Linked DNA regions of Danio rerio. The protein of the gene in region 3 binds, or shares a complex with, the protein of the main gene of each other region. Links are inferred from orthologs where the notes say so. Each region holds a gene or a part of one and is shown on either strand. Other genes may lie near its edges.

Evidence for each region.
Region 1: the proteins of timm10 (region 3) and timm9 are in contact, whole or in part, in a crystal structure (PDB 2BSK), measured with the Homo sapiens proteins. The link is inferred for Danio rerio from reciprocal best matches to the Homo sapiens genes TIMM10 and TIMM9. Residues at the interface, in NP_036588.1 of Homo sapiens: Glu16, Met17, Asp20, Met21, Arg24, Ala28, Cys29, Lys32, Cys50, Arg53, Cys54, Ser56, Lys57, Tyr58, Asp60, Ile61, His62, Arg64, Met65, Gly66, Lys68, Leu69, Leu72; in NP_001291414.1 of Homo sapiens: Lys15, Leu18, Gly19, Tyr21, Asn22, Lys23, Thr25, Glu26, Cys28, Phe29, Leu30, Val33, Asp35, Phe36, Thr37, Thr38, Arg39, Glu40, Val41, Glu45, Thr46, Glu50, Leu53, Leu57.
Region 2: the proteins of timm10 (region 3) and timm29 are in contact, whole or in part, in a cryo-EM structure (PDB 7CGP), measured with the Homo sapiens proteins. The link is inferred for Danio rerio from reciprocal best matches to the Homo sapiens genes TIMM10 and TIMM29. Residues at the interface, in NP_036588.1 of Homo sapiens: His30, Arg31, Lys32, Cys33, Pro35, Pro36, Leu43, Ser44, Lys45, Gly46, Glu47, Ser48, Val49, Arg53; in NP_612367.1 of Homo sapiens: Asp181, Asp183, Ile184, Asp186, Phe189, Leu192, Leu196, Arg197, Val199, Gln203, Leu204, Ser206, Asn209, Glu210, Leu212, Phe213, Asp214.

Annotation. Positions count from the first base shown.
Region 1 is NC_133192.1:12,570,039-12,579,911, reverse strand, and holds timm9 (mitochondrial import inner membrane translocase subunit Tim9), read right to left. Parts: upstream 9,861-9,873; 5' UTR 9,772-9,860; intron 9,495-9,771; 5' UTR 9,485-9,494; coding exon 9,446-9,484; intron 9,330-9,445; coding exon 9,234-9,329; exon of another isoform or gene 9,043-9,233; intron 7,263-9,042; exon of another isoform or gene 5,897-7,262; coding exon 5,762-5,896; 3' UTR 5,472-5,761; downstream 1-5,471. Other genes in the region: arid4a (AT-rich interactive domain-containing protein 4A), read left to right, coding at 15-161, 2,717-2,820. UniProt on the Homo sapiens protein: Mitochondrial intermembrane chaperone that participates in the import and insertion of multi-pass transmembrane proteins into the mitochondrial inner membrane.
Region 2 is NC_133178.1:33,029,392-33,040,764, forward strand, and holds timm29 (mitochondrial import inner membrane translocase subunit Tim29), read left to right. Parts: upstream 1-5,121; 5' UTR 5,122-5,131; coding exon 5,132-5,234; intron 5,235-5,867; coding exon 5,868-6,523; 3' UTR 6,524-6,742; downstream 6,743-11,373. Other genes in the region: protein YIPF2, read right to left, coding at 863-1,045, 1,132-1,298, 2,586-2,702, 2,854-2,941, 3,787-3,867, 3,962-4,113, 4,213-4,243. UniProt on the Homo sapiens protein: Component of the TIM22 complex, a complex that mediates the import and insertion of multi-pass transmembrane proteins into the mitochondrial inner membrane.
Region 3 is NC_133176.1:47,643,262-47,654,148, reverse strand, and holds timm10 (mitochondrial import inner membrane translocase subunit Tim10), read right to left. Parts: upstream 5,206-10,887; 5' UTR 5,027-5,205; coding exon 4,956-5,026; intron 1,934-4,955; coding exon 1,738-1,933; 3' UTR 639-1,737; downstream 1-638. Other genes in the region: uncharacterized protein, read right to left, coding at 7,699-8,021.

The DNA.
Region 1 (9,873 bases), on a different chromosome or scaffold from region 3:
TTTTTTTATTACAGCTGAGCTGGACAACATGTCAAGTGCTGAGCGCATTTCTTTCTTGCAAGACAAGCTACAGGAAATCAGGAAATATTACATGTCACTCAAGTCTGAAGTGGCTTCCATCGACAGGAGGCGGAAAAGGTTAAAAAAGAAGGAAAGAGAAGGTAAATATATACAATTATTTAAATACTTCATTGAATTACAACAATTAAATTTTTATTAGAGAAATAAAAAAAACAGCAATAATAATGTGTATAATACCATCATATTTACAAAAAGTTCTATTATTAATACTGCTACTACATTTTAGGATTTAATATATATATATATATATATATATATATATATATATATATATATATATATATATATATATATATATATATATATATATATATATATATATGTAAAAATAATATAGGTAATAAGAATAATATAATTATTTGTGATAATTAATTATACTAAATATATTAATGATGATAATAATATTAGTTGTGTACAGTATTCAAATATTGTGAGGCTTTAAAACGATAATGGTAGGTTAAAGACATTATTGGATATTTAAAAAAAATTACATTGTTAGTAAATGGGTATTTGTTTGAAGTTGGTAGTGCTGATAGTAATAATTAATGTACAACATTCAAAAATAATTGTGCAATATTCAAATGATACAATACTTTCTGCTATATTAAGAATACTAATTATGATTGTCCAATATTTAAATATTCTGAGACTTTCAAATGATAGAAATAATTATGTTTTCTTTTGATACTTTAAAAAAAAAAGATAAATACTGTTTTATCTTAAAATAATGTAATAAAATGTGATTATTGACATTAATAGCACCAGCAACATTATTATCATTGTTTCTAGTTTTATTAGATTTGATCACAGTATGGTAGCAGACTTGGTTTTAAATAGTTCATTTCACTCAGTTTTCGATCTTGTTTATTTGATAAATAATTGATTAACAAAAAAATGCATTAAAAGTAAGATACAAATTATATCAAAACAATCGTATCTTTTAACGAAAATGTATGTAGAGTTCGAAAAGTGGTTGTTTGACCCACTTCTGGCATACTGCCTTCCTATTTGCCATGCCTTGATGTTTACAACCAACAAATTGAACAACAAATCAAAACTCAAGTAATATTTTAAAACATGGCTTCAACAATTATCTCATGTCCTTTCATGCTTTTTTCTGTTTATCAGGTTTGACAAATGTTTAAAAAAAAAAACAATACAAATAAATACTTAAATTTAGTAAACATTTAATATTTGGGTTTCTTCTGGGGGTCTAATGGATCACGCCCTACGGTTTGAAATGCACAATTCACATACTAATAACTTTTATTTTTTTTAACTTGCCGATTAATCCAAGATTATAAATGATGATTTGCATACATGTATTCATCATTTGAGGTTCACTTTTAACACTTTTCAGTTAGTTTCAAACAATCAAATAACCCAGATGTACTGGGAGAACAGCCTATAGTCTAGATATTAACACTGATGTTTATGGTAAAGATTAAAATCACCTTTAAGGCAACTTGACGCTGTTGAATGTTGTAGCAATTACATAATTTAGCCAATAGGTGGTGACAAACTTTTTAAAAAATGCCACTGAACAGATTTTCAAAAATCTAGTAATGAAACATGAAGTTTTATGTGTGAATTATTGAATCAATTGAAAATGAGACTAAAAATAAATTTGTACAAGATAAGATTTGTACAAGATCTTTTGCATTATCAGCAACAGTAGAAAAAATAATTATTTCTTGATTTTTATTTAATTTAATTTTTAATTTAAGTTCTGTTAGAATCTAAAGTTTCTTGCAGTACTTTTTTGTAATTCATGGAAAGCTCAAGACATTTGTCTGCTCCCTTTTTTGCTGATCTGAGTAACTGACACAAACCGCTGTGTGATTCGAACTGTGAGATTTGTGATCCGTCACACCAGTGTTTCTCAACCATGTTCATGAAGGACCACCAGCACTGCATGTTTTGGATGTTTCCTTTGTCTGTCACACCTATTACAGGTCTTTCAGTCTCTGCTAATGAGCTGATGATCTGAATTAGGTGTGTTCGGTTACGAAGACATGGAAAAAGTGCAGAGCTGGTGGTCTTCCTGGAATGTGGTTAAGAAACAATGCGTTACACCAATGTTTCCCAACCCTGTTCCTGAAGGCACATCAACAGTACACATTTTTAACCTCTTTCTAATCAAACACATCTGAACCAACTCATCAGAACATTAGGAGGGACTGTAAAGCCTCAAATTAATGGGTCAGATCAGGGAGACATCCAAAACATGTATTGTTGGTTGGTGTGCCTCCAGGAACCAGGTTGGGAAACACTACGTTACACCACTAGTTTCTCCATTTGTTGTCCTTTGCACATCACTGATCTTTGCTGATCGTTATAACAGTCTGATATGTGACTCAAACCATAGTGAGATTAGTTACACCAGTGTTTCCCAACCCTGTTCCTAAAGGCACACTAACAGTACATATTTTTGTAACCTCTTTCTCAAATCAACTCATCAGAATACTAGAAGAGACTACAAAACCTCAAATAAATGGGTCAGATAAGGGAGACATCCAAAACATGTACTGTTGGTGTGCCTCCAGAAACAGGGTTGGGAAATGGTTACATCATTAGTTTCTCTATTTATTGTCTTCTGTGCATTACTGACCTTTTGACCTCTACTGTTCCACAGTGTCCCATACCACAGCGTCCACCTCATCAGGCTCCTCGGACACGGGCATGAGTCCGTCTTCAGCTTCGCCCACGCAGAACACTGTGGCCGTGGAGTGCAGGTGATGTCAGGCGGCATCCGCTCCACCTCCGCCTTCCCAGAGTCCCGCTGACAGCAGCACTCGACTGCCCACCGCCTCCACCTTCTGCACTTTCAGACCTGATCCTGCCTCCACCAAACGGGAAAACGGACTCCACGCGGGGCTTGAATGTAAATCGATGATATCAAAGCTTACGATTGATCCATCCAGAGCAACACGACGGCACTTTTCACTTCACAAACGCTGAACAGACCAGGCAACCTCCTCTTACTGCTTCAGACCGGAGTTTGGATGCAGTAGTCAATCCTCCAGTCACATCCCTAGGTAATGGTCACCTTAACCAGCTGGACATGGTTATTCAATGAAAGGTCAATTGTAGCGCGCTTGTTCCATCAGAACTGCCAAAGTAAAACGTGTTACAGCAGAGTGCCCTATTTTGGAAAAGCAGGACAAAGTCAGTTGCAAAAGGGAATGTAGTTTACTGAAAACTGCAGCCGGCGTCTTCCACTTCTATCTTAGTATGCGAGCACAGAGAATTATGCAAATCCTATTTTTGTCGTCTCTCGTTTTTAATAAAAAGAAAAAAACGTAATAAATAAAGCGGAAATGTTTACAGTGGAACTCGAGATGAAACTGTTTTCAGTGGACTAATTTCCTTTGCAAGTGCATTTTGTCTTTTTATATGTAATCGCAGAGTTTTTATTTTTAGTATGGAAAATTTCGAAATATTATATCGCAGCCGTGAAGTTATTTAATGAAAGATTTCTAGCGCTGAATTTTTTTTTTGTGTGTGTAAAATAAAAGGTATTATCTTGCAACTTGTTAAATATATTTATTCAGTCGGCGGGCGGCATTTTTGTATTTTTTACAAGATGAGAATCGCAGTTGTCCCGCGTTCGGTTCGCTTGGGGGGGGGGGGGGGGGGGGGGGGGGGTCAAATTTGTGGGGTTGTCTTGAAACTCTCTGAATGTGACGTCACAATTTGGGTAACTACTGTGCAGTAAACCGAATCCTCCCCACTTTCTTTTTTGTTCGTTTGGGCCCAAAGCTACTTTGAGGGAACACCAGAAATTGGTGACATGCTCCTTTTTTTTCTCCCTCTCTCTCCCAGTTATTACCTGGTACTTTCGAATTCTTATTTTCATTCTTGACCAATTAAATAAATGAGTTGCTTCTCTCAACTACGTTAAGCCCAGGGGTTTCTTACTGATTGTTCCTTTTGTAAATAGAGCTTTCAAAAAAACCATGTATTTGAAAAATACATTTTACACAAACTGTAAAAAGGATTTATATTATTTTTTAAAGCGTACATCTTTGTATATTAATTAATTTCTCCTTTTCTATGTCCAGTTGTTAGGAGCACTAGCACATCTTTAGACTTCTGTATATAATCAACCATTTAGGAACCTAAACCCAAGCTGTCTAGAGTGACCCATGATGACTATGTTGAACATTTTATGCTGTAGGCATCGATTCATTCACTGCGATGAACTTGCTTCCCTGTGACTTCAGTTTATTTACAGATTCCTGGATGAAGGAATGAAGGCATTAGGTTCCTAAGCAAAGCCATTGTACTTTTATGTAAAATAAGAAGAGGTCTTCTCATTTCTAATAAAGTTGTGAAATATTAAGAAGTTATTCAGATCTTTTCTCTATTAACTGGTTGATCCATTCAATTCAGGCTTTTTTGTATGGCACTTCTCACAATAATTGTTGGATATCACAATAATGATCCAATTAAAATATACAGAGAAATTATTTGGACCCCTTTTTGCCTTCAGAACTGCCTTAATCCTTCGTGACCGATTCAACAAGGTACTGGAATTTTTTTCTCAGAGATTGTGGTCCATATTGACATGATAGCATCATGCAGTTGCTGCAGACTTGTCGGCTGCACATGCTTGATGCAAATCTCCCATTTCACCACATCCCAAAAGTGTTCTTGAATTGAGTTCTGGTGACTGTGGAGGCCATTTGAGTACAGTGAACTCATTGTCATGTTTAAGAAACCAGTCTGAGATGATTTGAGCTTTATGAAATGGTGCGTTATCCTGCTGGAAGTAGCCAACAGTTAGCGGTGACCTTTCTATCAGCTCAAACCAATCTGGCCATTCTCCTCTGGCATCAACAAGGCATTTGCCCCCACAGGACTGCCGCCAGCTGGATATCTTCTTTTTCTAACCATTCTCTGTAAACTCTAGAGATGGTTGTGTGTGAAAATCCCAGTTGATCAGCAGTTTCTGAAATACTCAGACCAGTCCGTCTGACACCAACAACCATCCCATATTCAAAGTCACTTAAGTCACCTTTCTTCCCCATTCTGATGCTCTATTTGAACTGCAGTAGATCGTCTTGACCATGTCTACATGCCTAAATGCATTGAGTTTCTGCCATATGATTGGCTGATTAGAAATTTGCATTAACGAGCAGTTGGACAGGTATACCTAATAAAGTGGCCAGTGAATGTAAATCCATGTATACATAATTACAGGAATTAACTTAAAGTATTTGCATGATTGTAGATATTTTCACTTCAACTACAAAATATAGCTATAATTTTTATATAGTTATTTATTTAAATTATTGTTTTTGTCATTGAATTGAAAATATCAGATTTTTTTTTTGTTTCTTGATCAACCTATACTTGTATATATTATTAATAAATTTACTCGGGAATGAGATGTTCATAACATTTTATTTTTGTAGCATGCTAACATAAAAACAATCAAGATCTTTCATGTTATGTGGCCGACCTGCTTAATGTCCCGAAAATGAGGAATGTCTTTCCATTTGGGGGAAACCAAAAATCCCATCAGTCCAGATATCTGCAGGCAGACAGTAGAGGACTTCTCCCGGTATTATCTGCAGTCCTGAACCTCTGAGGGCCCGTTTGGAGACTCCTGCTCTGTGCTGGAAATACAGAGAGCCTGGCGTAATGGTCTGGAGTTCAGTCCAGCAGCAGTCTGTTATCGTGGTTGTGCTAATAATCCGGCTTTGGCGGCCAACGCTTCGTTCTGCTGGATGTGATATTCCTGGAAGCGCATGGAGATCCTCTGTGTCATCTTCAGGTACTTCTGCAAGCAGCTCTCAGAACATGTGGTCTAGAAGAATGTTGATACTTAAAATTAAGATGTAGCTTTACATATAATGAATAAGTGTTTTTATTTTTTTATTTATGGTGACATGACACAAAAAACATTGCAAAAAATGTTTGTTATAATAATTAAATTGTAAATATTTTTCTCTTGCCAATTAACAAATCCAAACTTGTATTTATATATTATTAATGTTTTGACATGTATAGTTATTTTTAACACAGACTTTATGATAAACATATAGATCTGAGATATATCTTGAAATCTCAGATCAACCAGGTATTGTGGAAGGACGATTTTGGGGGTAAAACCTTGAGGTTTTACCAAAAACTGTGAGATACAAGCTTGCTAAAGTGTCACCGTCATTAATCAACTAAACGCAGTGGTCACCAAACTTGTTCCTGGAGGGCCGGTGTCCTGCAGATTTTAGCTCCAACCCTAATCAAACACACCTGAACAAGCTAATCAAGGTCTTGTTAGGTATACTTGAAACATCCAGGCAGGTGTGTTGAGGCAAGTTGGAGCTAAACCAGCAGAGACACCGGCCCTACAGGACTGAGATTGGTGACCCCTGAACTATAATAACAACTGTGAGGAAAAAGTTTAAATCTAAATATTTAATGAAACAGAATTTTACCCTGATAACTGTTATTTTGTCATTTTAATATTATAGTTATTTGTTATTTTAACAAATATAAATTCATTTTTTATTCCTCTGAATTATTAGAGAAAAAAAAGGCAAATTAGTGAATTCTTATCTTTCAATATGGAGGTCAAAAAATCTGATGTTATTCTCATAAGTTTAAATCCCACAATTCTAAATTTAAATAACTTGATTCTGACTTTGTCTCAGAATGGGATTAAAGCTCACACTCCTGTGGTGGAAACAGCTTGTTAGACAAGAAAAAAACTGACTTGATTTTATCCTCAGGAATTGATTAGATGTAATGTGTATTTATAGAGCGCATTTATTGTGTATGGTCATACACCCAAAGTGCTTCACAATCATAAGGGGGGTAGTCTCTACACTCCACCACCAGTGTTGCATCCTCTTGGATGATACGACGGCAGCCACAGGACAACGGTGCCAGTGTGCTCACCACACACCAGCTATTGGCGGAGTGGAGAGAAAGTGATAGAGCCAATTCGGTGGATGGGGACGATTGGGAGACCATGATCAGTAAGGGCCGATGGAGGGAACTTGGCCAGGACACCAGGGTTACACGAGAACGGGGACCATTACGAGAAGTGCCATGGGATTTTTAATGACCACAAAAAGTCAGTACCTCAGTTTAATGTCTCATCTGAAAGACGGTGCTCACTAACAGTATAGTGCAGGGGTGTCAAACTCAATTCCTGGAGGGCCGAAGCCCTGCACAGTTTAGTTCCAACCCTGCTCCAACACACTTACCTGTAGGTTTCAAACAAGCCTGAAGGACTCAATTAGTTTGATCAGGTGTGTTTAATTAGGGTTGGAACTAAACTGTGCAGAACTGCGGCCCTTTTGGAACTGAGTTTGACACCTGTGGTATAGTGCATCCAATTTACTATACTGGGGCATTAGGACTCACACAAACCACAGGCTGAGCGCCCCCTGATGGTCTCTCTAACACCACTTCCAACAGCAACTCAGTTTTCCCATTTGGTCTCTCATCCAGGTACTGACCAGGCTCAGCCCTGCTTGGCTTCAGTGAGTAACCAGTCTTGGGCTGTGGCCATAAGGTAAAATGGTAATACAAAGAAGCAAAATGATCTCCTCTTCACACCAGTGAAATATTTTTGGAGTCATCTTGCATATCAGACAGGTCTTTCACAGCCACCATTCAAAATTATGCCTCGAGAATAGCATCTCAGAGCTGTGGTGTTTCACAGGGTCCAAAACTCATTACACTTGCTGCCTCTTGTGCAATAAATAGTTTAAGTATTATCTTTGGTATACAAGTAAGAAATTAAAAAAAAAGCCTAAAGATTTGTTCAAAATGGTTTTAGCATTTAAATCATAAACCATTTTGAGGGTTGTAAACAAAAACAACGGTCCCAACGTATTTCCTGTTTTACATTTTTAATTTCTGTAGCTTCCAGGAATCTAAAAAGAGACAAATATTGACAAATAATGTTATAATAGCTGTTTTAACATTACGCTATGATTGAATTGCCTCTGTTCAGTTATGAAATAGTTTGACAACAAGCAGGAAATGTTTATGGGCCAATGACATGACCACATTGAAATGGTCTACACATGGACACGTTTAAAAAGCTGCAAAAACACTCAATTAAACTTGATTTAGTCTTAATTTTTCTTTCTATTACTGTTTAACCTTTTAATGTATGACTTCAAATAATAATAATGCATTTTATTTAAAGGCGCCTTTCATGACACTCAAGGTCACCGTACAGGACAGGTAAAACAATCAATTCAAATAAAAACACAAAAACAATAGAATACTATACAAAACAATGCAATCGGGTCAAAGAGAATAGGCTGTTCTAAACAGATGTGTTTTGAGTCTGGACTTAAATTGTGAAAGAGTCTACATTACGGAGAACAGGAGGAAGTGAATTCCAAAGCTGAGGAGCAGAGTGGCTGAAGGATCTGCTCCCCATGGTGACAAGGCGGACAGAGGGAACAGTGAGGTGAATGGAAGAAGACCTGAGTGTTCGAGAAGGTGTGGCGATATGAACAAGATTAGCAAGGTATGGAGGAGCGAGATTGTGGATGGCTTTTTAAAGGTGAGAAGAAGTATTTTATAATTAATTCTGTAAGAGATGTGAAGCTGTTGTAGAATGGGTGTGATGTAACCGACAGAGGGGGTTTATGTGATAATACGGGCTGCAGCGTTTTGTACCAGTTGTAATTTATGAAGAGTTTTTTTAAGGGAGGCCAAACAGAAGGGAATTACAGTAATCTAAACGGGATGTGACTAAACTATGAACAAGAATGGCAGCTGAGTGAGGTGTGAGGGAAGGACGTAAACGATTTATATTTCGAAGGTGGAAATAGGCGGACCGGGTGACATTATTAACATGTGCAGTGAATGAAAGGGTGCTGTCGAAGATGACCCCCAGACTCTTAACCTGAAGGGAGGGGGTAATGACAGAATCCTCTGTGGAAATGGAAAAACTATGGGATTTATTTAAAGTGGATCGTGTACCTATAAGTAAAAGTTTAGTTTTATTGTCATTTAATTTCAAGAAGTTTGTGGTGAACCAGGATTGTACCATAGAAACAAAAATACTTGCTTACAGAGATATTGTTGAAGACGCAGGGTAAGTTTTACTGATTAAAGGTAATTTTGATGCCATTTAAAGTTTAAACATTTGAATTCTTCATAAAATCACATACCTCCTCTGGCTTGACCTCTCTTGTGGTGAAATCTTTCACACAATCCATGAAGCAGTTCTCTGTCAGTTTATTGTAGGTTCCCAGGAATTCCTTAAACTACAAAATACAATAAACAACTCAAATTCAAAACTATATACATTCAATAAATATGCATGTGTGTGTGTGTGTGTGTGTGTGTGTGTGTGTGTGTGTGTGTGTGTGTTTTCTCTTACCTGTTTGATCTGATCTGATTCAGTGACCTGAGCTGCCATCGTTACGATGCTTTAAAACAGACGAATAAACAATTAACATAAATCTTTCTGTTGTCAAACAGTGCAGAATCTCCTAAAATAAATGCAGAATCTTTAGTAATAAAGGCCTCAGAGCAGTGAGAGGTGAGTGGCTACATTAGCCTTTAGCATCATGTACATTTATCACAGCGACCGTGCAGAAATGCCTCTCAAATTGAATGCATTAATATTCGCGTTACGATAAATAAGATTTTGACGGGAAAAACCGTATAAATAAGTAAAGCATGTGAAAGTATTAAAGCTGCTACCTTTGATGTAAGAGCTCAGACTGTGAAGGACATGTGAGAACACCACTGACTGAAATTATCAGCTGCTTCACAGCGGCACTTTCGCAACAAATAAGAGCCCTC
Region 2 (11,373 bases), on a different chromosome or scaffold from region 3:
AAGTTAACGTGAACTAGCAATGAACAGCTTTATTTTCAATTAGTAATGTTAGTAAAGATTAATAAATACTGTAAATAAATGTACTAACGTGAACTAGCAATGAACAGCTTTATTTTCAATTAGTAATGTTAGTAAAGATTAATAAATACTGTAAATAAATGTACTGTATGTTCATGTTAGTAAATACACTAATGGGAATGTAAAACCTATATTAAAGTCTTACATCAAAAAATATATGAAATTGTCTGAAAAGAACTGCAATTAAGCTACTTTGTAGAGAGCTATACAGGCATCCTAGTGGTACAGCATGTAATTTAACACCTTTACAAGCAGATGGCACTAAACTGACTTTATAAAATTGGATTCGAGTGGGAGAGTCTCTATTCTAACTAGAAATACTGCATTAATTAGAACAAACAAATATAGTAATCGTTTTCAATGGTGATAAAATTTATCTTAATTACTGCAAAAAAAGTTTTTTTTTTTAACCAAACCCCCTAAAATGCTAAATAAAAGAGATTAATAGTATTAAACTAAAATAAATTAAATGATTTTCCTGAAAATAAAATGTTATTCCACAGGTCTTTGGTCACTTTTGATCGGGAAGGGCACAAGTGTGATTCTGACTTCTAGGTAACCAGAGGGTTTAAAAAGTATAATAAAATTACTGAGCCCAAACATTAGAATGGCAAGCAGAGCAAGTTTTTTCTATCAAAACATTTTAAATGAAATGTGAGAAGTACAATCTATCAACTCATACCAGGATAACAGGAATTTACTCAAAGACAAGTAAAAATGACTGTTCTGTTTATCAGCCAAGGTGTATCAGGCCTGAAAAATTCCTCTAAAGAGTTTCTCTCACCTTACAGCCGACAGCCAGCAGTGCGTGAAGTGCCACGATAACAGCCACAGTGGCGAAAGCCGTTAGTTTAGTATCATCACGAACCGCCGGCCAGAACGTGATCACCAACACCGAACCAGAGATCACCATTGCAACCACAATCAACAACCACTGGAGCCAGTTGAAAGGAATAGTCCATAATACCTAAAAACAAATGGAGCATCACTTACCGCGTCTAAAATCAACAAGGCTGATTGTTTGTGTGCTTTTGAAGATTTTCCCAATCTTACCGAGGTAGGAATGTAAATGAACAAAGAGTAGCCGTAGACACAGACTGTCTCTAAAAATGTGTATCCGTTGATCTGTCTCTCGACACTTTGACGCCACGTGAGGAAGCCCCAAACTCCTAGTGGCACCAGCCATGCATAGAGGAACACCGTGACTGCTGCAATGGAGACTACAAGAAGAAGAGTTCAGATTAAAAGCAGATCTTGACTTTCACATTCACTGACTGGCAGGCTGTTTGTATAATGTGTAGTTAAAGAGGAAATAAGATTTTCTAAAAGATTTTTTTTAAATGTAAAAATAAATGATCATAAACATGTTTAATGTTCACTGACTTCAACATCTTTGTAATTTACAGGTGGATTTCCCTCCCAAGAGGTAAGCAAAACTCTTTATTGTCCAGCCCAAAACAATTGTACAATATAGAAGATAAGAATAATCCTCGGAATATGCATGTTTTCATGAAAGGGTGTTTTGGGTGTGTGTACAAAGGTAGTTTGAAAATTCAATTTTCTCTACAAATTCTAACAATTCACATACACAGCGCAGTTTTACCTTTTAAACATTCATTCATTTTCTTTTCATCTTAGTCCCTTTATTAATCAGGTGTTGCCACAGCGGAATGAACCACCAACTTATCCATCATGTTTTACACAGCAGATGCCCTTCCAGCCACAACACCTATATACTCTCATTCACACACACACACACTCATAAACTATGGTCATTCAATTCACCTACAGTGCAAGTCTTTTGACTGTAGGAGAAACCAGAGAAACCTGGAGGAAACCCATGTAAACATGGGGAGAACATGCAAACTCCACACAAAAATCCACAGAAAAACTGACCCAGCCAAGGCTCGAACCAGCAAACATCTTTCTGTGAGGCTATCGTGCTACCCATGAAGCCCCTTTTAAAAATGTATGACTTTAAAAACAAACATCCTTTCATAACCTTTTATCTATGATATTTTTACATATAGTGGGTTAATTCTGAACTCAACCAGTGTTTTGTTTTTTAATAAAAGAAAGAAAACAAAAAAAGAAAGCCAAAATATTACATATTTACTATGAGTAATTTACTTTTGAGGTCAAAATAGAAATTTTCACCAGTAGTTTTTATAAATTAGACAATATATTTTACACATAAATTCATGAATTGTCATTTGGTTCACATGTAAATATTTATCCCAGCCTACAAAATAATGGAATATTTAATTTGGGCTTTCAGTAGTTTTCATATTTATTGGAATATTGATGTGTATATATATATATATATATATATATATATATATATATATATATATATATATACTTTACTTTTTTACAAAATCAAATATTTTAGCAAAGAAGGATTTTTCAATGTATGAGTCTTTTAAAAATGCAATGGACAAAAATCTGTTTTTATTACACTGTTATCATGAACATAGCCTCATTTCCCATTCCTACAGGCATCTTACCTCTGTGAAATTGAGGTCTGTAGTGATACTCTGGATTTCCCATCTCACTCAAAAATGTGGAGAGGTTCCCGCTGATGGCCAGTGAGAACACTAGAGTCACACAGATCCAGAAAGGACCTGAAAAGAGAAAGGGAACAAAAAGTGTCAGTTGCTTAATAAACCACTAAAGCAAAAATACAGTGAAATATATATATATATATTTATATATAAACAAAAAATAATTATAATTTGGGCATGTTTTGAAGATTTGAGAAACATGGTCCATTACCATATAGATCAGGGTTGCTTCGTATATGATGTTTGATGAAATTCCTTCCTGGCAAAGGCATAACTGAGCCCTTTATCCTATCCAGCACCTACAATGATGAAAATAATATTATCTGTAATATACAAGACACAAGCTGTTGATGTACATAATTGAGTGTGACAGCTATGAGTAGGTACATGACAAAGAAATCAGGATTGCCCTTTAGATTGCTAGTAATCTGATCAAATATATATTAAGAAATTAGATTTTAAGAGGACAACATTATATTTTATAGTGCAGTTTTGTTTTTTTACCATTATTACTTGGTGGAAATACTAGTTAGCATATGAAGAGTTTATTAACAAAAACAGTTAACTCCACTTTTATTAAAATTCAGATATCACGTTTTATATATTGTGCATTGATGAGTACAGCTGCAAAAAAAAAAACATGATTTATGGAAATGACTAAAACTGTAGCTTTTTAATAGTTTTCAGAAATCATGTTTACTTTGAGTATTGATAAGTTATAAATACCCAAAAATGTCTAAAAACTGATTCTGTATTTGCAAATGATGTCTTCATATGTTTTTTCATTTTCTAGATTAGATAAAGTCTTGTTTTATTCTTCAGACGAAAACTACCTTGACAAGAATACATTTTAAATGATTTACAAAATTGTTGTTTTATTTATTCAGTGTTTCAAGTTTGTATATCAGGACTTATTTAGAAAAAGACATTAAAAAGAAGCACAGTGCATCTTTCTAATAGAAACCACGATGTTTTACTTGTTTTGTCAGCATAAAAAAAACTATTACACCTAAACGTAATGCATTTTGAAATTGTAACTATAATGAATAAACAATGTACCTAAATTACGGTCAATTACATTTGTACCATAATGAACACACTCAGATATTTACCACAGCTGAAGAGGTAAAAAAAAGAAACACACCTGCACTGTATCTACGTTGAAGAACGACTGATAGTATTCAAACGTCCAAAACCCACCAGTTTTCTTTTCCCCTCCAAGCAACTGTGGAGAATATTGCACAATGTGGAAAAACAACCAGTGAGTGACTAAATTAGCTGCTTGTGATATGTTGTGACCGTTTTGTTTGGCGTGTCACCTCTGAACTCTCCTGCTGATTCTCTTCATCGTCGGACAGGTCGAGTCTGACCTCTCCAGATGGGGCTGCTGCTGCTGCTGGGTTTGAGCTGGAGATGCTGAGGGTTGAGGCTCCAGGATTTGAGGACAGGAGATCTTCGGCTTCTTCAAACTCTGAACATGTGAAAAACAACAGACACAACTTAAAACAGATTAAAACAGAGACACCTGAACAGTAAGGTACATAACGTTACAGATGAACACAATCCTTACCTTGAAACTTTAAATCATCTGGACTAGCCATGACTGGAGATCATACGAATTCACTCTTCAAGGGAAAAACGACTGTAAATTACAAATAATTTAATCACACGACAGCTGTTACCACTGAAATCTGAACAGATTTAGACTTGACTCACTCACCTGGCTGATAATCCAGCAGTGTGTTTCCTGATGCTGCTATTATTCAGCTTGTGTCGAGCTAGCAAATACAAAAACAATCGTTTTGTCAGCTCGGCTGGTGTTTTGTAACACCCTTTGGCTAAGTGGGATCAATAATATCTGCAAACGATTCGATTACAGATAGAAATCATTTGATGCAGTTTTAATACACAAGGATTTAGCGTTATCGTCCCCATATTCCACGTCACCTGCAGGGTTCCGCTGCGTCAAAACACAATCACGTGACCGGAACAAAGCCGGAACTAAAATGTGTGTTGGCTACCTGAATGGGAATTGAAAACAACCTGAGCATAATATGATAAAATTACTATAAACTATTATTACTAGCTATAAAACATGGAATTGTGTTTTTCTTCTTAATGTGATTGAAATTATGCAAACTATTGTATTGTTTAATTAAACATACTTTATCTTTTCTATTCAGTGTTGTAGCGTTAGTATACTGTTATTAATGTGTATGTCTTAGTCCGTATGGACCTTCGATTGACATCTGTTATAACTGACAAAACGGGGCAAAATTTTGTTTGGTGGAATGGGGCAAGGAACTTTGTGTTTCCTCTCCGGAACAATAACATTTCACGTACCGTGTACTCGCCATTTTGGCTCAACAGTTTCACCATGCAGCACTATTACGTTTATCAAGATTTGGAAACTCTCGGCTGAAACCTCTTCCTGTGCACATTCACCGTGAACTCTGAACTTTCACACTTACTCGAGTTCATTTGCTAACATGGCCGCCTCGTGGCTGCTGAAGAGATGGTGCTCCACGGCAGCTAACGTTACAGTGACAGCCAAGGGCACACGGTGGGAAAGGCTAAGAAACGGTCGCGCAGGTAAGACTAAATGCTTATCATTTTCCCCATTTCTGGAATGAGTATTAAAGATAAGATTGATATTACCCTTAGCTACCCAGATACGCTAGTCCAGTGTAAGTTTCTTGTATTTATCTGATTTCTGGGTAATGTATACATGTTAACATTTACCTGCATAACCGCAGCAGCAACTTATGCAATAACTTTATTATAATTCATTCAGATTTACAGTATAGCATTAAGAATGTATTTCAGTTTGTAGTATTCCTAATTAAAATATAGCTCCATCCCTTAAAAAATGCAGAAGATACTTTGAAAAATGTTGCAATTGGAAGCCATTGATATTCTTAGATGGGGAAAATACCATAATAGTCAATCACAACTGTGTTTTCAGCATTATTCTAAATATCTAAAGAGACTAAGTAGGTTTAAAGAAAAAAAAACTGACTATATAAAGACGTAATTAAAATATCTGAGTGAACGTACTGTTTTAATTGTAATAAATGACTTTATATAAACTGAATTTTAGATTCGATTAAACTTTTAAACTATTGTCATTACACATGTACAAGTACAATGCAACGAAACGCAGTTTAGGTCTAGCCAGCAGTGAATGGTTTGTCTAAACTCTGTTAATCTCTCGGCTGTTTTCAGGTGTATGGTTCCGCAGTCTTTTAACTGACTATAAGGAGGCTTGTCGTGAGGCGGTGGTAGGGGCCCGTGATCGACCCCTCAAAGCTTCAGTCTACCTGGGTGTTCTGGGAGGAATGTACGCTTGCTGTTACACCAACCCTGATGATTCCTCCTTTGAGACCAGCCTGCTGGAAACCTCCAACCGCCTAGCTCTCCTGTCGCCATGGATACGCAGTGGCACCTCAGATGGACACATCCAGACCCTTGTGAAGCTGCGAAACGAGGGCAGGCTGCGCTATGCCAGTCTGGGCATCGCCTCTTTGACTTATTACGCAGACTACGATGCTGAGTCTAGCCTGTATGAAGCGCGATGCTCTGCCATCTCTGTGCCCTGGTCCGAGCTGCATAAGCGTGTGCTGGACGTGGGCTTTGCGGGACGCTGGTGGGTGCTTGATCATAAAATGAAGGACTTTGATATAAACGAGGAGGAGTTCAAACATCTTCCTCCCGCTCTGGTGGCAACAGTCCCACCATCACCACAAATAACTGAAAGAAACGAAAAGCTGCATGAGGACTCATGGAAAGCTGTTGTGATGGATGAGGAGAGCAGTGAGTTAGAGGGTGTACAGAAAGACATGGACACAGCTGATAAAGGAAAAGAAAGCATCAAAGCATAAATGTATTGATGGACGTGGTAAAATTAATGCTGTTTTTCATACAAGAAGGATCAACTGTTAACAAGGAATGTAGTAGGAGACATTCTTGTACTACTAAAGACGAGGAATGATGATTAGAATGTGTTTATGCAAGTAAAGAAACATTTTACCACTAAAGATATGCAGAAAAGTGTGACTTGCTGCCTACAAGTACATTAAAACAGCTGCAGTATATGCTGACATTGTGTTATGTGAATGGATTATTAGTACTACATCAGCTCAGCAAAAATATGAATGTCTTTTAAGTTGATTAATTCTCCGTCAGTGAAGGAAAACTCACACAATATTTAGGCAAAGGTATAATGTTGTGTGTATTTGTTTTGTTCAGAATTCTATTTAAAAAATTTTCCTAAAATATTGTTATTTAAAGGTTTTATTATTTTTTTTAAAATGGCATTTTCAGAAAACAAAGGGTAAACAAATGTGAAAAGTTGCTTTCTTAATTTTAAGCTGTGTTGTCTAAATTAGGCCGTACTCACACTAGGTACAGTTGCCTCGAACCGGGCCAAAGCACGCTTGTCCCCCCTCTTGTCTCCCCCGACGGCCTGCACTCACACTACAATCGGGCCTGGGCACACTTACGTCATCGATGCTGCGCTGTTCAGTGAGAAGCGCTGTCACTCAGCAGCACAGTGGAGATTTCTCTAGTTATATAGTTTCAGTCGTTTGTTATGCGTTGACATGCAGTCAAATATTTCGCCAAACAGTCCTTAGGGATGCGGTGACACGCAGTCAGATATTTCGCCGTACAGATCTGCCACTTTTGGCGCTCATAAACAATCACAAAGCTTTCATGCTGCAGGAATGAGGAGGTCTGCTGAAGGCGCGCAGCTGTCGTGCAGTGAGGGGTTTGGTCCTTAATAAACTGAGTTTGCGCTCATTAAACAGTAAGAATGATTAATAAATCCATATGAAACAGTCCCTTTAAAGTCACGTCTCGTTTTCAGTTTCGGGCTTAAACGTGTTTGGCACTCACACTGCAAACTTCTCGTGTCAAAACCCAAGTGAACCCCGCTCAGGCCCACCTCTTCCAACAGGGCCAGGGCCAGCCAAGTGAACCGTGCCTGAGCCCGATTCAGCGAACTCACACTTCTCAAATGATCCCGATACGGTTCGGATAGCATAGTCTGAGTAGGCCCTTACTTTGATCAATATATAAGACTAAAAACATTGCACCTTTTTTTTGCTATTTTATGCAATATATATATATTTATATATATATATATATATATATATATATATATATATATATATATATATATATATATATATATTTGGAAGAATTTAGTTTGGAAGATTTCATTAGTTTGTGGTATAAAACAAACAGCTTTTTTAAAATACATAACTTAAAACCATTAATTCAATGTGTATGTCTCTGTATTTAAGCATCCAAAAACAGAAATGTGTGCACATGTAGGATTCTCAATGGCAGGTGGCAGGTGCTCGATCAAAAACAAACACAGTGGCAAAAGGTCAAAGGAAAATTGAGACATTGCCACTTTAGCTCTTAAATTTTATTTTATTTTTTAAATTTAAAAATTGTTACATTTCAATTTTTTGAGAGCTAAAGAGGCAGTGTCTCGATATTTTTATTTATTTTTGGACCTTTTGCCACTATGTCTCTGGATTTACAATTTATATTCATTGTATAGTTATGTGATTAAATATAAATGTATATACATACATTTCAATAATTTAGACGTTTCTCTTCAGCAGAGAACGCAAAAATATTTACACAAATATATTAAGCAGTACAACCCTTTTTCAATGTTTTATAGTAATAAAATGTTTGTTAGGCATTAAAGTATTCAATTTAAAGGGTGAAAGGGTGACTGACCCCAGCTGGGTCAGTTGGCATTTCTATGTGAAACATGCACTAAATACTGAATCTAAAACACTAAAAACTGAACTACACTGTTCCAGTTTACTATGATCTTTATGTGAAGCTGCTTTGACACAATCTACATTGTAAAAGTGCTATACAAATAAAGGTGAATTGAACTGAATTGAATGTTCTCCCCATGTTGGCGTGGGTTTCCTCTGGGTGCTCCAGTTTCCCCCATAAGTCCAAAGACGTGCTAAAGCTGAATTGGGTAAGGGTACATCCAGTGTTATGGATGTGAAATTTGCATAAATTCGCATAAAAAAAAAAACAGAGAAAGTATACGTTAACATTATATTGAAGCAACAGTTTATATTTTCCAAAACAACTAACCACAGAGTTATGGGATCTGGAAAATATCAATCTGTGAACATGTTTTAGATTTTAAAATAAACATGCAACCAAAAGAAATGATGCTAATTAAAGGGATAAGTGTCGGCTCACAATAGAACAAAAATTATTGATTTTACTTGATTTGACATTTTTGCCTTTACAAGAAAAAAGCTTGTGTTATGGATGTGACAGATGTAATGTTGGTACTTGTGTGACTTTGGTAAATCAATTATAATAATTTGAAAACATTGACCGAGACATTTTTGAGTACTTTTTAAAGTAAATACTTGCTTCCACAAAAAACAAAGAAATTATTTTGCTATTTTTATGTAAACTTGCTTTTTTTTCATGGCATGGTTGACACTTGCATAAAATTGCTCGTAAGCTAAGTGAAGTTTATTCATAAACTAATTTTGAGACTCGTGTTTATGATTGACTGGAGCTGGTCCTGCATTAGCTAACGCATGATCCACCAATTAGATGATTCCTAAATCACTATAAAAAAACCAGAGCACCGTAGCATCTTCATCTTGAAGAATCCTCCCTTCCACCCCTTTTTCCTTGACAGGGCGGCCCGGGGGTTAGCACCGTTGCCTCACAGCAAGAATGTCACTGGTTCAAGTCTTAACCTGGCAAAGTTGACATTTCTGTGTGAAGTTTACATGTTCTTCCTGTGTTTGCGTGCGTTTCCCCTGGGCTCTCCGGTTTCCTCCCATAGACATGTTACATAGGTAAATTGACCAAATCAAATCGACACCACAGACGAGCGCTTCCTCAGCAATATATCTCGCCAAAGTAATTCTTAACCTGCATTCACCTGAAACAAGCAGGGAAGTTCTCGAGACCTACCTTAGCTCAAACTGCAAACAAGAGGGAGCCCTGGGCTCAAGGATCTCATGAGTTCTGGGCTCTCTTCTATTACTCGCTTTAAAATCAACCATCAGCTAAGTGTCAACTCTTGAAATTGTCCGTAGTGTATGTGTGTGAATGAGAGTGTATGGGTGTTTCCCAGTGATGGGTTGCAGCTGGAAGGGCATCCACTGCGTAAAACATATGCTGGATAAGTTGGTGGTTTATTCCACTGTTGCGACCCCTGATTAATAATGGGACTAAGCCCAAAACAAGAATGAATGAATAAAAACAGCCATTTGTAATTGTAACAATATTTCACAATATGACCACTGCGTTTTTAGGCAAATAAACTGCTGATTGACCATTCACTTTACTAACCAACAACATTTTTGCTGCCTTCCAAAAAAAAAAAGGAATTCATGTAAAAAAAAAAGAGAGTTGGCTTAATTATAGCCATTAATCCCATTACCTTTGACCTTCTATTGCAGTGGCTGACTTTGATTCATTTTCAAGGGAAATCCTCTTTTACATTAATCTCTTTACTCTTCCTCTCTCTGGCTTGTCTTCCCCCATTAGTCTTTCACTCGCTCCCCCCATGCAGTCCTTCCTAAGATGGTTGGTATTGATTCGCTGGCTCATGGAGCTGCATTCTGTGCTCTTTTTTTTCTGATTGGTATCTCAGCTCCTAAAGAAGATTGTTCATTCTGATGTGCGGCTCTCCTGCAATAAACCATACGAACGCTGCACTGACCCGTTCGCAACAAGCTAAACCAGATTATATTCTCAGCGATAGAGCTAATAATGAAAGTTAAGTCTACTAGTACGCACTTAATGATGAAAAGCACTTAAGATGCGCTAATGAAAGTGTGGGAGGCCCTTTCCAAGAGGTTTCTAATAGTCCGGGGTGTAACTCAACCTCGCTACAGTCAATGTTGAAATAATAATCTCATTAGTGTGCATTTACAAACTGCCTAACAGAAATATTGCGTGTCACTGGAGACGAGTATTAATGAGACCAGACCTTTAGGTGGCTTCAGGCAATCCTAACGACGGCCTTTTAACTTCTCCACTGTTATAAACTGTTGTATATTGAAATGGTCACTTAGCATTATCACGCTGCCGTTATCCAATCACTAAAGATTTTCAGCCGCCAGGAGGATGTTGCTGTAGCCTCGGGGCAGCGGTATCTGATGTGCCTCGATCCTCATAATGTACTGAAGCACTCTGTCTGTCCATCAGGGCGTCCACAGGGACCAAGACATTGGCTGATTGCTAAAATGGAGGAGCTTTTTCCTAACAGTGCAGCGCTCTCTGTGAGACACTCTCCGCTCAGACGCACCACCGCTGCGTCCCAGTGCTTTTAAAGTGCTGTCCCTGCCCTGTCTTATTGCCTTCAAGCTCACTGATCTGAGATAACTAGGCAGTGGGAAGCAATGGAGTGGAAGCCCACCATGTTTTTCAGGTAGTGTCGCTGCTGTCTTGTTTGCTTTTTTACTAGGCTGAATGATGAGGGAGATGGAAAACTGGTAGGCGACTCATTCATTTTTGCATTTGCTTTGTCTTTATATTTCATGGATCCTTGGCTCTTCGTTGTCTGAAGCTACTTTTAGTTTTTTCATAGCCATGTGATACTAAAATAGGAATATTTATATAATATTTATGGGATGGTACTGACAAAAACATAAGCCTGTTTTAATTAATTTGCCTTTGTGCTGTTCTAAACATGTAATGCTTCTTTCTTTTT
Region 3 (10,887 bases):
GGTTGATTTTAACATTCATCCATGACAAAGCTTAAAATGTAAGACTTTGAACCAGTAACAATTAAAACCAAATGTTCTTCCAATGTGCCAAGCATTCCTTTTTAACATGAAGAATCTTCCATTTACAGTGAGGTCTGTCAAACTTTAAAAAAAACAGGAAATATTTTGTTGGAACTGAGATTAGTTAAATATGTGGTGCTTAAAGAAGACAATAGTGACGCATGTCCTCTAAAAGACCCAGTGAAACTGATACTTTAAATAACTAAAAATACATTGATTAATCATCCTGACACAACTTTATAAATTACTTTCAGAGTATAATACCCAGCTGAAAAAAAACGGCTTAAACCAGCCTAAGCTGCATGGCTGGTTTTAGCTGGTTGACTAGCCTGGTTTTAGAGGGGTTTGGCCACTTTCAAGCAGGTTTCCATACATTTCCAGCCTGGTCTTAGCTGGTCAGGCTGGAAAATAACCTGCTAAAACCAGCCTGACCAGCTAAGACCAGGCTGGAAATGGCTGGAAACCTGCTTGAAAGTGGCTAAAACGCCTCTAAAGCCAGCCTGGTTGACCAGCCACTGGTTTAAGCAGTTTTTTTAGTAGTGATTTCAGAACATTGCTTTGAATAAAGAATCAGAAAATGACAATGTTACCCGTTTATTCACGATTTATAAATTCTAGACAGCCTTATTCAGTACACCGTATTACGTAGACTACACTATTATAAAACCAAGCTTAGTAAATTCTATCCCTCAGTTTCCCCCACATGTGACAAGTGTAAAGCTGCTGAGCACATCTTTTTTGGTCCTGTGTTCAAATTCAGATTTTTTTTGGTTAGAAATATTTCAGTACCTTATTAAGGTTTGCGATTGTGCTTTACTCCCTGACCCAATGATGGCAATGTTTGGCAGCTCAGATTTTCTGGAGACTTAACCTAAATGTACGGTTACCTGTTCAGAATGGCATGATAGCTAAAAAAAAAAAAAAAGTTAACCTTGGTTTCTGGAAGAAAAATGCCAGGCCTCTTTTTTCAGACTGGGCTTCTTGGACTTCTAAGAACTCTGCGAAATTTGATAAAATGTGGAATCCAGACTCTAAAACACCATAAAGATTAATATTGTTGTGTAATTTCTGAAGATTTGTAATCCATTTGCAAGATTTTTGCATCCATTGCTGTGTATTTTTGTAGGTGATATATGTCTAATATGTCATTATTTTCCCTTGTTTCATGCTTTATTTTACATTAAGCACAGATTATTGTTATATGATGGTTTGTCTGTCTGTTCCTTGCTTTTCTATGTCTGCAAAAACGATTTAAAAATATTCAAGAACATGACAAAATGGTAAACATTTTTATTTTGTTGACCAATAAAGAAAGATTTAGTAAAACGACAGAAATAACAATGAACAGAGCCAACATAAAAAGTTACCAACAATTTCACAAGGATATCAATTCTCAAATTTCTTCAACAAGACATCTTATTCCTGTCAATAACTGCTAAAGCCAACACACTCATCAACTTCTGAGGTAAAACATCCAATCATCTCCTCCAAAACGCTTAACCCCTCACATGGCATATCTAACAGAAAGTCAATATGTGTTCATATTCACTTTAGAAGGTATATATCCATGGGCAATCCTGTCAGATTTCCCTGTTTGGATGTCCAAATTGTGCCCACTTCTCCCATAAACCCCATCATCCAAGGACTTGATCCCCCACCCTTGGAGTTTATATAAGATTATCCAGTTCCAGCAGCAGCTTTCCTCATCACCTCCTCATCCTGAACCGAGAGCTCTGTGAGTTTTCGGCCGAGTCTCTCATGCAAGTCCAAGTATTTGGCCACACAGCGGTCCAGACAGACAGCTTCCCCCTTCGAGAGCTCCGCTTCCTTATAATGAGGGGGAACACATTTCCTGTGACACGCGTTGGTCATCCTGCATAAGGAGAAAGAAGAGCGGAGATGAGATTATATGCTTTGGTTGAACCCATCTGTTCACATTCACTCATCTTCAAAACTGTTATGTTCATAAGCAGGCAGCACAGTGGATGGCACAATCGCCAAAGGTCAATGGTTCGACTTCGAGCCCCAGCTGGGTCAGTTGGCGTTTCTGTGTGGAGTTTGCATGTTCTCCCTGTGTTTGTGTGGGTTTCCTCCGGGTGCTCCGGTTTCCCCCACAAGTCTAAAGACATGCAGTACAAGGGAATCAAGTAGGCTAAATTGTCCAGTGTATGTATGTGAATGGGTGTGTATGGATGTTTCCCACAAATGGGTTGCGGCTGGAAGGGCATCCACTGTATAAAACATGTGCTAGATAAGTTGGCGGTTCATTCCGCTGTGATGACCCCAGATTAATATAGGTTAATAATAATGAATGAATGTTTATATGCTGAATCGGTGCAGGGAAACTACATTTTCCATGATGCTGTACAGACTTTCCACCAATCACAAAGCTCCAGCGAGGAAAGCACACATTATTGATATTTAGCTCCACACGCTTCCATGAAGAAACAAAATATGTCAGATATATTGTTTCTATATAGAGAGCCATTCAGTTTTAAATAAAAGATATACATTTATCTGATGTTTTTTTTTAGAAATTGGGTTCACAGTACTTCATGATGTTGTAGCTCTTACCAAATTACTTGACTTTTGTCAAATTTTCATGTATTTTACTTTTGATACACATTCAGATTCTCCTTGCAGCTGTTTGGTTTGGTTCATGGCTTATAATTCTTTACCAATGATCATTTCTAACATTTTAATAAATAACATGAATGGGAAAAACAGTTTTGGAACAGCTGAACAACGGATTTAAGCACTAATAACGTCCATTAACTCAATCCGTTATTTTATAGAGACTACAACAGTAGGGCTAAACTATTGACAATCAAGGAGTAAAATTGTATTAGGCATTAATACTATCTGAAGAAACACCTGACAACAGGGTTGCCAAATCTGTGGTTTTCCATCTGGTTAAGGTTAGACAAATTGCATCAATTGTATTGTAGGGTTGTGTTGAAATATTTTGCTCTCCCAAATTTATGATCATAAAAACTGCTAGGATGATGAAATGGAGTAAGCACACTTTTGTGAAGTGCACTAGAGAAGAGACTTTGTGTAACTATTTTCGTTTCCACAATAGATTTGCAGGACCCTTCAAGACTGTTGCTAAATTATAGCAGCAAAAATATGTGATCTGGAGAAGTCAGTCGATTTACAATTAATATCTTGAATGTATAACATTCATCAACAAGCTGTACTGTCAATTTCAGTACATTTCTTTATGATAACATAATCTTTATAATTAATAATATATTATTGAGTTTGGATATTTTTATTATAATAATATAATATTATTAGAGTTGTTTTGGCCTACCTTTTTGCTCTTCCAAACACTTTTTTTCTCTCTCCTCAGAAATAATTCAATACATTATTTTTTACCACCATTTTTTCATGGTTCAAGGAATCCATAGAAAATTTTAAATATTTGTATAATATCAATATAAATATAATTTATATGGGACATTCTACCTGAGATGTACATCATTCGTCCTTGAAATAAAAACAAATAGTGAATATAAAAGGATTTCATCCCAAAAACTTTCTAAACTGAACCGATGGTTGATTTCTGTGAGTTGTTCTGTAAAGGAATATGTCATTCATTTGGTTCTTAGATTTTTGCTCTTTATTAAAAACATTTTACACTGTATAAACCCTGTCATCCTTGTCCTCAGCCCAACTGAACCTACAGTGTTAATACTTTTGTTATGCTATAAACTGTTATTTAGGGGGAAAAAACTTTTAAAATAGCAAGTTTAAGTTATTAGCATTCACACTAACTGATTAAAACATGAAACTATAAATAAATTCAACAAAGAAATACTATTTTACAATTGCCCCCATGTTTCTGTCAGTCCTGTTACATTTATATTAAACTTAAAATAAAATGCATGCAATACACCTTTAAGGCTATGACTCGTTTGATGAAGAAGCTGACAGTGATCAAAGATGCATTCTATCAATGAATTGTATGATTTCATGCTTGTTTTTGCATGATTTTTTTGTTTTGTTTTTTTTGTTTTTGAGAAAGAAAAGCTTAAAGGTCAGGTCTTATCACATTTTTTATAAGTGAAAATGTACTTTTCTGGTAGAATGTCCCATATTATAGTACCAACAACTATACCTTTATATTTATAGCATCTATAACAAAATGTAACTTGTAATATTGACATTATGTAACTAGTAATTTTCAACAAATAATAAGAGAAATATCCATCAAATTGAGTAGGTGATTATCCAGCCCAACCACATACAATTATTAACTCTAGACTTTTACATAGTAGGAATAAATGCATAGGAATGGCAAATATTTAACTTCATAACAACCGAACATTACATAAAACACTCAATTAGTCTTTTTTTCACTTAAAAAGCTCTTCACAAGGATATACCAATGTCAATGTCACAGGCATTTTTATATAACATTTTAATACACCAATCTAATATAAAGCATACTAATAACTAATAATTGTGTATTTATACACAAATGTTGACTTGTACATTGGATCAGCGCATACATTTTAATTAAACACTCAAACTTAACTTTCTCAAAGTGACAGAGGACAAAAAAATGAACCTGACGGTTCAAGATGTGCAGGACTTGAATGCATGGACCTGTCACTGCAATAGCAATGCTCGTAATCTGATGATACAGGTTATTGCAGCAAACATCAAGGATTATATAGATTTACTGAATTCTGCCCTAAAATGTCAAATTATGCGATCTTGATCAAGGCCTGGTGTCTTAATACACATAATAACGTTATACTACAACTAATCGTAAAAAACAAATAGCTACACAAACTACTGCACAATAGCATATCTGATGTCTGCATCAATAATGCAAGTAATGTCACACAAATAATTTTTGTTGCATATGAATAAAATCTGCATACCGGTTGTACATGTCAGCCATCATCTCCACCTCCAGCTCTGCGGCGAGCTGCTGCGCTTTCATTGGGTCCATTTCTGCAAACGTCCTTTCGGTTCCCCCTCGACAAAAACCCACCGGTCTGCGCGCGGATCCCGTTCAACAAAGAGCCCCGACAGCCTGCTTTAACCTTCAGTGTCTGTGTGCTTGACCGGAGAAACAACCCACGTGGATCCTCCTTTCCATCCAGCGTTGTAATTGCTACATCCGCTGACAATAAAGTTTTCTATTGAAAAGTGAGACGCCTCGTGGTCGGTCCGGTCCGCTGCTCCGATACGTCAACGCAGCCGCCATCTTAAACCGGTCATCGGTGCGCTGTAAACAGACGCAACTGAACGGAGGAGCTGCTTTTTCTCGGATATAAAATACAATAACGCTTACATTTATTGACTGATTATAATTTCATATTGTGAAAAAACCTAGGAGAAAGAAAGCTCAAAAGTGTAATGTATATTTTATGGTATATATATATATATATATATATATATATATATATATATATATATATATATATATATATATATCAATAAATAAGTAGTGCTGGAATCCTCTTTTTCCCCCTAACAGTTTTCTAACATTTAACAAAAACAGTTTATAAAAAGTAACGATTAAGAAAAACAAAAAGCATTATTATAATAGTACAAATTCCATACAATAACGTCTGCAGAAAGAATTCGATTGACATCCCCCTTTGTACATGCCATTAGAGGGGAACACCAGGGCTGCGTCCAAAACAGCATACTTCCATATAATACAGTACGCTAAAATCAGTATGCGAGCCGAGTGGTATGTCCGAATTCATAGAATTCGAAAATCAGTATGCGAGAAGTACCCGGATGACGCATCCCATGCACACTGCGCTATCCCAAAATGCCTCGCAAGAGAATTCATGAATGGAAGTAAAGCGACGCAACCGACACAGGAAGGTCATGTGATTATGACAAAATGGCAGATGTAGTACGTCCGAATTGATTTATTATTTTTTACATTCATACTGTATAGAACGTACTTTACTAACGACCGAGTAGTACGTTTAAATTCAAATGCAGTACCTACTGAATAGTAGGTGGTTTCGGACGCAGCCCAGGGCATTATTTATGCCGGAACATTATTTATGCCTGGCATCTCATTTTACCAATCCCCCTCCTCTACCACCCTCCTCCCCGTCCGCTGTTCACTTTCACTTTCTTCCGCGACCCCCCTACCCCTGGCTCTTCTTTCACTTTTATCCATGACGACCAACCCCCCTTAAAACTTTAGTGCGCGACACCTCTACATCCTAGGGTAACATGCCGGATTTGTAACCCCAATCTGTTCCTGGACCTTGCAATTCACAAGTCCAAAAACTTAAATCTCAAACACGAGGACTAAAAAAGCTTTGATATTGTCATGTAGCACAAGTCTATAAGCATGTTAACGAGAGAGCACACACTATCCACGACGTAACCAATACAAGCTAATATAAAACTGTTGTAAACATCACATGCATAAATCACAACATGGACATTACATTAAGTAAATGCAGCCTTAATCAGGTTGCAACTTCAGTTGTGTCGCTTCAATCCCATTCATGAATTCTCTCGCGGGGCACCATGGGACAGCGCACCATGCATGGGATGCACAACTCTCTATAGAAGTAGTAGGTCAGGGGTGTCCACACTTGGTTCTGGAGGCCCAGTGTCCTGGAGAGTTTACATTCAACCCTAATCAACCACACCTGAACCAGCTAATTAAGCTCTAACCACATATACAAGAAACTTCCTGACAGCTGTTGAAGCAAGTTGGAGCTAAACTCTCCAGGACTACCGAGGTTGGACACCCCTGCAGTAGGTCATCAGGGTACTTCTCGCATACTTATTTTCGTATTCTATGAATTCAGACATCCATTTGGCTCGCATACCGATTTAAGCGTAATATACAGTATGGAAGTATGCGGTTTCGGACGCAGCCTTTTCTTTTTTTTGGATCTGCCACTATGCTGACACACAGGCATTTGTAGCTCCGCCCTCTTTTGAAAAGACCTCATTTGAATTTAAAGTGACAGTCACAAAAATTCACACTTAGGGTCAAAGTCTAAAAGGAGCAGTTTCAAAGAGTTATAAAACATTATTTGTGGGGTGTTTCCAGCTGAAACTACACATACATGCTTTAGAGATATAAGCGACTTATTTTACATCTTTCTTAAAGAGGACCTATTATAACCTTTTTAAGAAGAAGTCAGACCAACAAAATTCTTTCTTAACGTATTATATAGTTATTGTTTTAAATACGACTAAAATTGACAGAATTTTTAGACTAAAAACCTTTCTTAAATACACACACGTACAGCTATTTATTGTCAGTTTATCAACTCAGTTATAAAACAAAAACATTCGTTTAAAATTAAAGCTATTTTTGTTAATGCCAATATTAATCTTCTTCTTGAACATCTACGGTAGTATCTCAAATAATTACCACACATTCAAGTGAATATGAACTTATATATAATGTAAATTTATTTTAATTACATACTTTTAATATGTAACTTTACACATGTACGAGACAACGGAAAACAAATTGATAGGCTTAATCTCTTGACAACAAACTGACAAAAATGATTCTTCTCACCATTTGATATAATCAACTCGGGGCTTTGAGAACTTTGCTCAAACATCTGCTATTGACAACAATTATTAAGGTTAATAAATTGTAACATGAACATAAAAAATTCAATCAGTCTCCTCTCCGGTGACATCCACCTCCTCCTCTTCTTCATCATCCTCTGACTCATCCTCTAGGTCCAGTGGACTCTCAATGGTCAATCTGACGATCTGTCTAGCTGCCAAAAGCCCTAAAGGAGAGCCAACAGACCCTTCTACATCTACCTCAATGTCTTCCTCATCAGGCTGAGTGTCCTCTTTTGAATCAGAGCTGGGCAGCAATGTTGAGACCTCTTCAGTGCACACATGTGGCTTCTCAATGCTTTTAGCTTCAGTTTGGACACAAGCAGCATCTGTGCTTATTATTTCCTGTGTGTTTTTTGCTGTCAGCACTACAAGGACAAAACAGAAATCGAGAATATTAATTATTATTATCAGAGAGGAAATATCCACACTTGAAAAAGTAAACCTTAGGTCACTCTATAAGCCCAAGTTTTCTTGTTAAAAAGTCACTTTGAAATCATGATTTACAATGTTGAGCAATGTTTTACTAGTGAACATTGTTATTTGTTTGGTGAATAATTAATCTGTGCAAGTTAATACACTGGAAAAAAAGTTAGTTTTAGTAATCTTCAATCAAAGTCTGACTATTTGCTTCTGCGTTTGGAGTGGTGGTCCTTCTCTGATGACATCAATTTGAAGGTACATCAACATCAGTAGGAAGTACATCAACATACTGAAATAAAAGTCATAGCAAATTCTGACTGACGCAGACTTGAACATATTCAAACATCAACGTATAAATACTTCGATATAATATTCAATCCTGGGTATTCTGATGTGTCACACTGTAATCTCCTGGGTTATTCTAATTATTTGCAGAGCTTGCTGTCGCAATTGGATGAATGCAGCATGTGACTTGTCTACATACTTTATTGAGCACTGTTGTTTTTCATGTTATACATTGTAGACCAGGGTTTCACAAACATTTTAGCCCGCGACTCCCAAAATAACAATGCCAGTGACTCGCGACCCCCAATATCCTCTGAGGTGGGTATAAATACAGAAACCTTGCATGCAAAGGTGCGCACACACACACACACCAATTGACCCATGTCTATACTTCGTTAAATTTTTTTTAATGTATGCGAGTGCTGTAAAGTGCCAGAAAGATGCTATTGACGTATCTGATGCTATTGCTGTGTCTTTAATATAATGTAATCACCCCAGGAGTCCTAATCCAATTGAACTAGTAACTATAAGCTACTATAGTAACTTTATAGTATAAACTACTATTTTATCTTCAGTATCTTATTGATAAAATATGGTAATTCTAATGGTTTAATATAACTAATTTGATTTTTGGAAATTAACAAGCTCCGTCTTCATTGTCCCAACCCCTACTTTTTAAACCACTGTTATAGACTATACTATGAAGTTGACAGTAAAAAGCTGGCCTTAATCCCAACAGTGGAAACATAGATAATGTGAGGTACACGTTTGTCTGTCAACTGCTAAGCATCCAACCAATAATATTGAAACACTGCATTGTTTGACACTGGTTTTTCCACAGCAGTAACTACATAGCATTGGTTGTAAACCTGCTTCTGCACTTTAGGTGTAAAAGCCAAAGTAGCGAATCAAACTAAAGCACAAAACTGGAATATCGAATAAAACATTTGTGATGAGTTAAAGAGATGATGATAGTCACTTCCTGATAAATTACGCCAAACACCAAACAGAAAAACTAAATTTGCTGTGGCAGGAGACACCGCTGTGGGCCTTTTTTCTTACATAATAAATTAGTTGCCTCAGAAATGCAATGAATGGTGGCTTTTGGAGGTGACTAAATGAGTGCAGATGCTCAAGAAACATCTGAAAGATAATCAGTGCTTAATTTGTAAATGAATGATTCCCCGAACAAAACCAGGAAATAAAAATTACCGTGACTAACATCCGCCAAACAATTTCAGTTTTCCCACAACACGACGTTACCAAGCAGTTATAGTGAAAAAAGCATAACATTTCTAAACGGTCTATAACTATTATGTGCCATATAATGTTATGGGTCAACCATTAAAAAAAAAAAAAAAAAAAAACATGCAGCTACAAACATAAATTGTATAAAACACCACGATTCAGTTCATGAACATCACTGGCATTCAGGTCATTTCATTATTATGTGCCAAGCGAAAATAACTCATACACATCACCCTGGCTACGTTGTTTTACTTTCTCAACAATAAAATGAAAACATGATTTAAGGAACTGCCTATTTTCATTTTGATATTAGCAACTTAACAGACAGCAGAAATGTTGAGGCGTCGTGCTGCATTTATGAGCATCATCTTCACTGTGTGGATATTTATAACAAGACAGAGCCAATAACAACTGCCTCCTTTCATTTTCATTGAAAATACGAAACATACCCTTTCTTTTGCTGAATATCAGTTTTAATAATCGATAATGGCCATTATAAAAGTATAACATACAATAAGTTTATACATTATAGGAAATAAAGGCAAGCGATCAGTCAATATACAGAATGTAGGCTATGTGGGTACATTAATTATCAACCTATCTTTGCGCTTAGCCAAAACGCGTTATCTGAGAACAGGTAATAGATTCCAATGACCAAAGTCTGGGAATATGTTGTTAGACATAGACAACAAGATGAATGAAATATCACGTTCAATAAATATAGTGAGATTAGATCCAGCGAGAGATGCTTGATGAGCAGTCCGACGAGCAGAGCTCTCATCTGGGTAGATAGGCTGCACCGCTTGCCTGATAGTGTGTGTGTGGTCACGTGATGTGCGTTTTCAGCGTTTTGGTGTGGACGGAGAGCTGTTCAGAAACGCTGGGTGAAACGCTAGTGTGGACTTGGATCGTTTTTATTTTAAAACGCTGTTTTAAAACTAAAATGCGCTAGTGTAAATGGGGCCTCAGACTCAGTCACATTCTTTCTCTCTCTCTCACACACACATGCAGGTATTCACCACCCAAAAGTTAATGCCGGATCAATGGAAATAAACACTGTAACGCAAAACACATATCTGAATTTGCCTGGAACAGGATCCAGCAAGATCCGGCTCAAATTAAGCACTGAAGATAATAATACCAAACCACATTGATGACTGACTTTGGCTAAGGATTTTAGAATGACCAATACAACATTTGAGATGTTTTATAATTTGATCTGTCCACTAGTTTTTTCATAAATGCTATACCATCACCAGTGCTTAGTTTGTGAATTGC